Linked DNA regions of Tribolium castaneum. The protein of the gene in region 2 purifies or fractionates together with the protein of the main gene of each other region. This does not show direct contact. Links are inferred from orthologs where the notes say so. Each region holds a gene or a part of one and is shown on either strand. Other genes may lie near its edges.

What was found.
Region 1: the proteins of ScsbetaG (region 2) and Scsalpha1 fractionate together in Homo sapiens (co-fractionation; 6 studies listed by BioGRID and IntAct, counting the BioPlex papers as one, with this or other methods). This does not show direct contact. The link is inferred for Tribolium castaneum from reciprocal best matches to the Homo sapiens genes SUCLG2 and SUCLG1.

What each region holds. Positions count from the first base shown.
Region 1 is NC_087403.1:4,748,643-4,752,567, reverse strand, and holds Scsalpha1 (succinate--CoA ligase [ADP/GDP-forming] subunit alpha, mitochondrial), read left to right. Parts: upstream 1-1,553; 5' UTR 1,554-1,681; exon of another isoform or gene 1,682-1,731; intron 1,732-1,783; 5' UTR 1,784-1,810; coding exon 1,811-1,847; intron 1,848-2,039; coding exon 2,040-2,272; intron 2,273-2,476; coding exon 2,477-2,698; intron 2,699-2,745; coding exon 2,746-3,030; intron 3,031-3,080; coding exon 3,081-3,296; 3' UTR 3,297-3,449; downstream 3,450-3,925. Other genes in the region: leucine-rich repeat-containing protein 70, read left to right, coding at 183-194, 242-1,198. UniProt on the Homo sapiens protein: Succinyl-CoA synthetase functions in the citric acid cycle (TCA), coupling the hydrolysis of succinyl-CoA to the synthesis of either ATP or GTP and thus represents the only step of substrate-level phosphorylation in the TCA.
Region 2 is NC_087403.1:5,255,614-5,259,538, reverse strand, and holds ScsbetaG (succinate--CoA ligase [GDP-forming] subunit beta, mitochondrial), read right to left. Parts: upstream 2,465-3,925; 5' UTR 2,255-2,464; coding exon 2,198-2,254; intron 2,145-2,197; coding exon 2,021-2,144; intron 1,970-2,020; coding exon 1,870-1,969; intron 1,824-1,869; coding exon 860-1,823; 3' UTR 725-859; downstream 1-724. Other genes in the region: pyrethroid hydrolase Ces2a, read right to left, coding at 3,119-3,258, 3,304-3,518, 3,566-3,925. UniProt on the Homo sapiens protein: GTP-specific succinyl-CoA synthetase functions in the citric acid cycle (TCA), coupling the hydrolysis of succinyl-CoA to the synthesis of GTP and thus represents the only step of substrate-level phosphorylation in the TCA.

The DNA.
Region 1 (3,925 bases), about 510 kb from region 2:
ACTAATCAGTGCATATTGAGGCACTGTTCTAAATATAATTTGATAGTATCAAAATATTTGACTAAAATACACCGCAAGAAAATGGTTCGTATTTTGAATTTAAACTGATTGATAACCCTGGTAACCCAGATATCGGTTCTGACTGTATTCAGTAATAAGAGGATTAAGTTGAATGAAATAACATGTTACTTATGGTATGTATTCGCAACTTTTGGGTGAAAATTTTTGATTAATTTTGTAGAAAACTGTAATTTTGTTCCTGGCATGCATTGCCCTATCGTCGTGCCAAGACGTGGAAATTAATAATAAGTGCTCCTACTCTATGAACAAATCAATTTTTGGATGCCAGGATTTGTCAGACAGTGTGAAAAATATTGACGGGTTTATCACACCCCAAACCCGAATGCTAATGATAAGAAACAGCAACGTACGATTCGCCCCTTATCACCACAATCTGACAAATTATCAACATCTCATTAACTACAACATTATCGATAATAATCAAGTACAAATCGACGAATTTGCCTTTTATGGTATGACTAATTTAAATTATCTCCGAATCACAGGAAACTACCTTCCTGTTTTGAAAAACGACACATTTGTCGGACTTGACAATTTAGTATTTTTACTTTTACCGAAGAATAATATTTCGTCGTGTGAACCAAAATCATTCGTTGGCTTGCAAAGTGTGACACAAATTAACCTTGCTGAAAATAAAATTCAGACAATTCAGAGTAATTTGTTTAGTAATCTTAACGAGTTGAATCATTTGTTTCTTGACCACAATCAAATTAAAAAAATTGAGATGCATGCTTTTGCGGATATTCCAAATCTGGAAGTAATTGATTTGAGTTTCAATAAATTGGAAATTGTAAACACAGACGTGTTTAATGCTGTGCACAAACTGAACACTTTACTTCTCCATTTCAACAATATCAAAACTCTTGCGGGAATTTTTCACTTAAATAACTTAAAGTTCTTAAGGTTGGATAACAACAATTTGGACGAAATTGAAGGAAACACTTTTGCAAACTTGGAAAATATTTATACCATTGACTTGTCACATAATAATTTGTCCACTATAACGAGCCAACCGTTTGTCCATTTAAAATCGCTTAAACACTTGCATTTGGGCGGAAACAATGCCAATGCTTCATTTTTTGAGCGCCTTAAAGAAACGGTCTCTGTTGTAACATAATCTGTATCTGATCTTTGAATAAATAAATGTTATTAAGAATTGGCTGTTTTTTATTTAAAAGCTAAAACGGCTTCATATTTATTTGGTGCTATGTATGGTCAAAATACTACATTTTTTAAGTTTTTGTTTAAAACGCGAATTTAATGGCTTGATAATTTTGCTCAAAACCACAACTTCGCATTTATCTCATGAAATAACATCAGATCACCTTTTTTTACTTAATTTGATTTCGAGCGCACAAAACGAGGAAAATAAACGATTTCTTGCATTATTCAATGTTTTATTGTAAAATTATATAAATCTTTTAAACACATAGCGTTTAAATTTTGAAAATGACTACGGAATAGCATCATCTGTCGGCGGCAAAGCGAACGAGGGGCCACGTGACCTGCAATTTTACCAAAAGCTACTAATAGAACCGCCGCAGGTCGCGCCACCATAGCAGCAAGTGCATTGTGAAAATCGCTTTCGACTGAACTTTCGGTAAATGTTTGCCTAATTTTCTACTTTTGTGTTAATTTTCCTAAAACAAAGTTAATTTTAAAAACGACATGTTGAACGGTAAAATAACGCACTTGGTTTTAGCACTGGTGACAAAAGCGAATCGTCGCAATGGCCACACATACCAGGATATTGAGCCGAATAATTCGTAAGTGAGAAATTACATAACTCTGAATTAAATTTGTTTTTAAAATAGACTGGAACAATCGTTCCGTGTCCGCTTCATTTGAATGTATTTTTGGGCGTAAAGTGTCATTTTAGGGCGAAAAAAAATATTTCAAACACTTAACCTAACAGGTGCAAAGTTCACAAATTTATTGATAATGTGTTGTACTTGCAGCCGACAGCCTGAAAGTTGGACAATCGATCCGGTTTAATAGCTATGAGGCCACTCGAATGAACCTGAAGTTGACCGGGAACACGAAAGTCATCTGTCAGGGGTTTACGGGAAAACAGGGGACCTTCCACAGTAAACAGGCCATCGAATATGGCACTAAAATGGTCGGGGGGGTCTCTCCCGGAAAAGGGGGCAAGACCCACCTGGACTTGCCCGTCTTCAACAGTGTCAAAGAGGTTAGTTTGCCGAAAAAACAGCGCCAGATATGTAACACCGACCATAAATAACGCTCAAAACACAACGCACCTTGTCTTTATTGTTTTCAAAGCTAATTTAGTTGCGTTAGTTGCATAATCACGGCTTGGCAAGTGGTAAAACCTTGAAAATTTTCCAAAATGTCGCGATAAAGTGGCCCTTTGGTACTGATTGTTTGTTGTCAGGCGAAGGCGGCCACAAATGCCGACGCTTCAGTCATCTACGTGCCGCCCCCGGGGGCTGCCGCCGCCATTCTGGAAGCAATGGACGCGGAAATACCTCTAATAGTCTGTATCACTGAAGGCATTCCTCAACAAGACATGGTTAAAGTAAAACATAGGCTTCTTCGTCAGAACAAAAGTCGGTTGGTAGGCCCGAACTGTCCGGGTATCATTGCCCCCGAGCAGGTAATCCGCCCCTAATTTTTGCCCCCTTATGACCCATTCATTATCAGTGCAAAATTGGTATTATGCCCGGACACATCCACCAAAAAGGAGTCGTTGGGGTGGTGTCGAGGTCCGGCACTCTGACGTACGAAGCTGTCCACCAAACTACCCAAGTCGGTTTAGGTCAAACTCTCTGTGTGGGGATTGGCGGCGATCCCTTCAACGGGACGGACTTCATTGACTGTCTCGAGGTGTTCTTGAAGGACCCCGAAACGAAAGGTATTATCCTTATTGGGGAGATTGGAGGAGTCGCCGAGGAGCAAGCTGCAGAGTATCTCATGCAACACAATACTGTACGTTCGTGTTTTTCGTTGTGTTAACTTATTAATGATGTTTTGAGCAGGGGCCTAATGCGAAGCCTGTCGTTTCGTTCATTGCGGGGCTGTCGGCGCCTCCCGGCCGGCGCATGGGCCACGCTGGGGCGATCATTTCCGGGGGCAAAGGGGGCGCCCAAGACAAAATCAATGCCTTAGAGAAGGCCGGAGCCATCGTTACCAAATCACCCGCTCAAATGGGCAACGAGTTATTGAAAGAAATGCGCCGTTTAGGCCTGGCATAAACGCGCTTCATGTCAATTGATATTGTATTATAGTTTATCCATTAAAATCGATTATACCTAAGCAGAGTGTATTTAATCCGCTTATTAATGTTGATAAGATGTGTTCCAGTAACATTGTTATTTCATTCGTTAAGTAAAAATTGTTGTTTTAAACATTTGTTTCATTTTCCAATAAACGAGACGTTAGATGGCACACGAACTTTTATTTACATTGAACAAATTTCGAGCAAATTGATAAAAATCAAAATTTACAACGTGGTTGAGTCTAGGTGGACCAAAGGTCGAAGTTCGGTTGCTTTATTGGTCATATCGAAAATACCTTGAACACTGTTCTAACAGTTCAATCTCTGGTTATTACATAAATGAGTAAGCCGCATCCGTTTTCATTAATGGAAATTAATTGAAACTATAACCCGGAAATGGTTATTTAATCGTATTTTATTATTACTTTCGCGGATTTAAACAGTAATTGTTGAAGGGAATAAAGGAATTATTCCCTTATAAAATGCAATGAAAACTTGAGGAAATACGAGAACCACCAAGATTTTTGGCTTTAAATCTTTTTGTGTGTTTTAATTCCAGATTATCAATTTTATTTTCAGCAGAATTTAAAAAGCGAGCGCAAGCCA
Region 2 (3,925 bases):
AACTTACTGAATTTGTAATATAAAATTGTACATTTCATATTTATTTTTCGTTCAAATTAATTTCTCAATCTTATGTTACTCTCTTGGTTTTTGGAATTTTAAAATAATAAATCTTAATAAAAACACATTCTTTTATTTACCACTTCACTACAATAAGATCTAAAAATAATATCTAAAGCACCAGAAATAAAATTCAAGGTAAGTATTGAAAGTACCAAAATAATTCAACATTTTAAAACACTAAAAAAAAGATCTAAGCTTACTTTTTCAAATGCCCAAATACGATTTTAAAAAATGATTGCGATTTGTCCAAGGAACAAGGGTGCTGTATTTTTTTTAATGACTTAAACTAGGATATAAGATGAAGGAATACTGAAAATTGTTTTAAAAAACTTGATTAATCGAAAAAGCAATAAAAAAACAGTACCGTAAAATTTTCTCACAAAAGTACATAACTTTTATCAAGCAAACTTCAAATTTTATAGTTATATTCACATTACCTTACCTGACTGCCTTAAATACAGAGGTGGGCAAAAGTATGGAACGAGTTTTTTCAAAAATAAATTTTCGAAATTCTTTTTAGTAAGTATTAGTACTTTTAGTATTTTAGAGCATAATCTTTTATCAAAAAAATTATCGTAATAGGGTGCCATTTGAAGAAAAAAAATTTTGAATACTTTAAAACTATTATCTGGGATATAATGGTGTAATGAAAAACGAATAGTATATGAGAAATTTTTATTAACCGAAAATACAATATCAAAACGAAGTAATGAAAACATTGGTCATTTGAACAGTTTTTTGTGCTGTTGACTAATGAGCAATATCAACAAATTAACACTTTATCAACAAAAACACGTTAGGCATTCTGCACCGCTTTTTTGGCGGCATCGTCGAGATTTTCAGCTGTTTGGATATTCATGCCTGAATCCTTGATAATTCTCCGGGCCTCCGCCGCATTCGTGCCTTCCAGTCTGACAATCAAAGGCACTTCAAGCTTCATCGCCTTCATTGCACCCACGATTCCATTGGCAATCGTCGCGCAATTCACGATCCCGCCGAAAACGTTGACCAAAATACATTTAACGTTCTTATCAGACGTGAGAATATTGAACGCGGCTTTGACCTGCTCCTCGCGGACGCTGCCCCCGACGTCGAGGAAGTTGGCGGGGTCGCCCCCATGCAGCTTGATGATGTCCATGGTGGCCATGGCCAAACCGGCGCCGTTGACCAAACAGCCGATGTTTCCTGTCATCCCGATGTAGTTCAGGTTGTATTTCGCCGCTTCGACCTCGCGGGGGTCGCTCTCGGTGACGTCCTCCAACGCGAAGATGTCCTTTTGGCGGAACTGCGCGTTGTCGTCGAAATTGATTTTCGCATCCACTGCGATCACTTTATTGTTGTCCGTTTCGACCAAAGGGTTGATTTCGAGCTGAGTGGCATCGACGGCGAGGAAGAACTGCCACAGTTTTTTCAGCTCGGCTGCGGCCAAACCCTTGAGGGGCCCCTTGAACTCCAGGAACTCGGCCACCTCATTGGCCATACTATCGGTCACCCCCTTGTGAATATCAATGGGGATGTTTTTGATCAAATGGGGCGTCTTCTCAGCCACGGCTTCGATGTCCACGCCGCCTGCGGGGGACGCAATTAAGACAGGCCCGTTCTTCTGCCTGTCCATTAAAATGCAAACGTAGGTCTCCCTCTGAATGTTCACACTTTCGGCAATCATGATTTTTTTCACCTCGATGCCGTCCTTGGGCGTCTGCTTCGTGATAAGCCTGTGGCCGAGCATTTTTTTGACGATATCGTCGACTTCATTGCGTCTGAAACAAACGCTCAATTTTGACAAAACCACAAAAAAAATTTTACTTCTCAGTGACATGAACCCCGCCTTTAAAACCATTGGTAAAGTGGCCTTTGCCGCGACCACCCGCCAGAATTTGTGCCTTTATTACGTATTCTTTCACATCTGCAAAAAATTAAACAGTGACATAACCCCAACTTTTATTAACACTTTTACTAAATTTATCGAACTCGGAGCATCCCTTATCATCAACCATGCAAAAGTCTTGCACAGCCACCCCATTTTTGCGCAAAAGGTGCTTGCTTTGGTACTCCAACAGGTTCAAATAACGCACCGGAACCTGAAAATGATTGAGGTTATGTCATGTTTTTTGCGAATTTGTAAAAAAGTTACGGAGAATTGTTTTATCTGAGTCGGGACTTTTAAAAGAGAGTTCCAGAGGGAAGACATTGTTTGGTTTTCGCAATAAAGGCACTGCACACTTATCACTGGTATTTATCTAATTGGGGAACAGCACGAATGCACAAAGTCCAAATGTCTGAATGTTTTATCTGAAATAATTGTCCATAAAAAAAGACGGAGCGAGAAATTGCTCAGTGACGCAACTTTCGGCCAATTTGTGGGATAATTAAGCAAAACACACTCCTTAAGTTATTTTATATTGATCTAGGTTAGGTTTTTCCCATAACTCTAGGAAAAAAGCATTGATTTTGATTTTTGGTAAAGGGAAGGTAATAAAAACGATTTTTCGATTTTCTTACGCAAAAAACTGTATTTTTTATACACATATTTATACTTTTTCCACCTGTGCTAATTAGGTTTCTAGGTTAAGAATGCGGGATTTTATTTTAAAACAAACTAAACGGGACAGATAAATATCTATTAGTTTTTATTTTTAGTACACATTTAATATTTTTAATAACTATTTACAAAAATAGGCGTTTTGATTTAAATAAGGGGCTGTGCTCGCCATTGGTGGAATCTATATGTCATTGTACATAAATGGCCAATAACAAACTAGATAAGTATGTACAGTGAAGGTCACAAGATAATTATTTTTGGACACTATTTTTACAAAGGTGATGACAAAAACAATAAAATTGTTGTAACGACACATCTACAGTCGAAATATATTTATAAATGCGTTTGTTAAGCACCGATATGTACATATTTTCCCGTCTACCTGATTCCGCTGACATTTATAAATAGAATTAAAAAAACTTAATAGTCCTGTCTTGTCGCCCAAAAACGTATCACAAGTGATGAGACATCTAAATATATTTAGTTAATTGAAAACTGGTTTGCAACTTATTTTTAATATCCCATATGAAGATGATTTTCCCGCTCCCTCGATCGCTTTTTCAATAAAACAATGCAAATTAGGAGCAAAGCGAGCAGGGCGATCACAAGAGCCACCAAAGTGTACATTGCATGCCGGAAACCTGCAGCCGGGTCTAGAACTTACCAAATAAAATGCAACTTTGTGAATTAGTTATTACCTGGACTATTTTGTAGCTCCCGCGGGATGTTATTCGATAAATTATTCTTAATATTGGCCATTTTTGGCACGAGCTGGTTCCAGAACAAAACCCTCTGGACGCGTTTTTTATTTTCTTCATTTATGTGGGAATTAACCGGCCCAAAATTTTCGATATAATAGTCCCCCGAGGTGTATTTTCGCCACGATCTGACCTGATTGTTTAGTGTCGGCTCCCTGAAATTTTTTCCTAGACTTTGGACTATTCATGTTGGGGGAAATACCCAAACATTATAAAGTTGGTCCATAACTGTTTGATTTGTCGACTCAAATTCATTTCGTTGGCGTTGAACCGCCGCCTGGCCACTTGCTTCAGCAAAATCGGTCCAAATACCAAGAGAAGGTCTGTGGTAATGGTCGAATCGGTTGTATTGAGAACAAACCCAACATCATCCATAAAATAAACATAAATTGGTTGCACGTATGACGAAATCAGGTGCGAAAGTTGCAAAAAATGTGGCGCTTCCACTTTGGCCTGAAACTCAAAATCTTTCAACTCGTCGTAGAGGAGTCTAACGTCCCCTTGGTTCGACGAGAAGTACTGCCACCTGATAAGGTCATAAATGTGGTCTTTGTTGGACGCC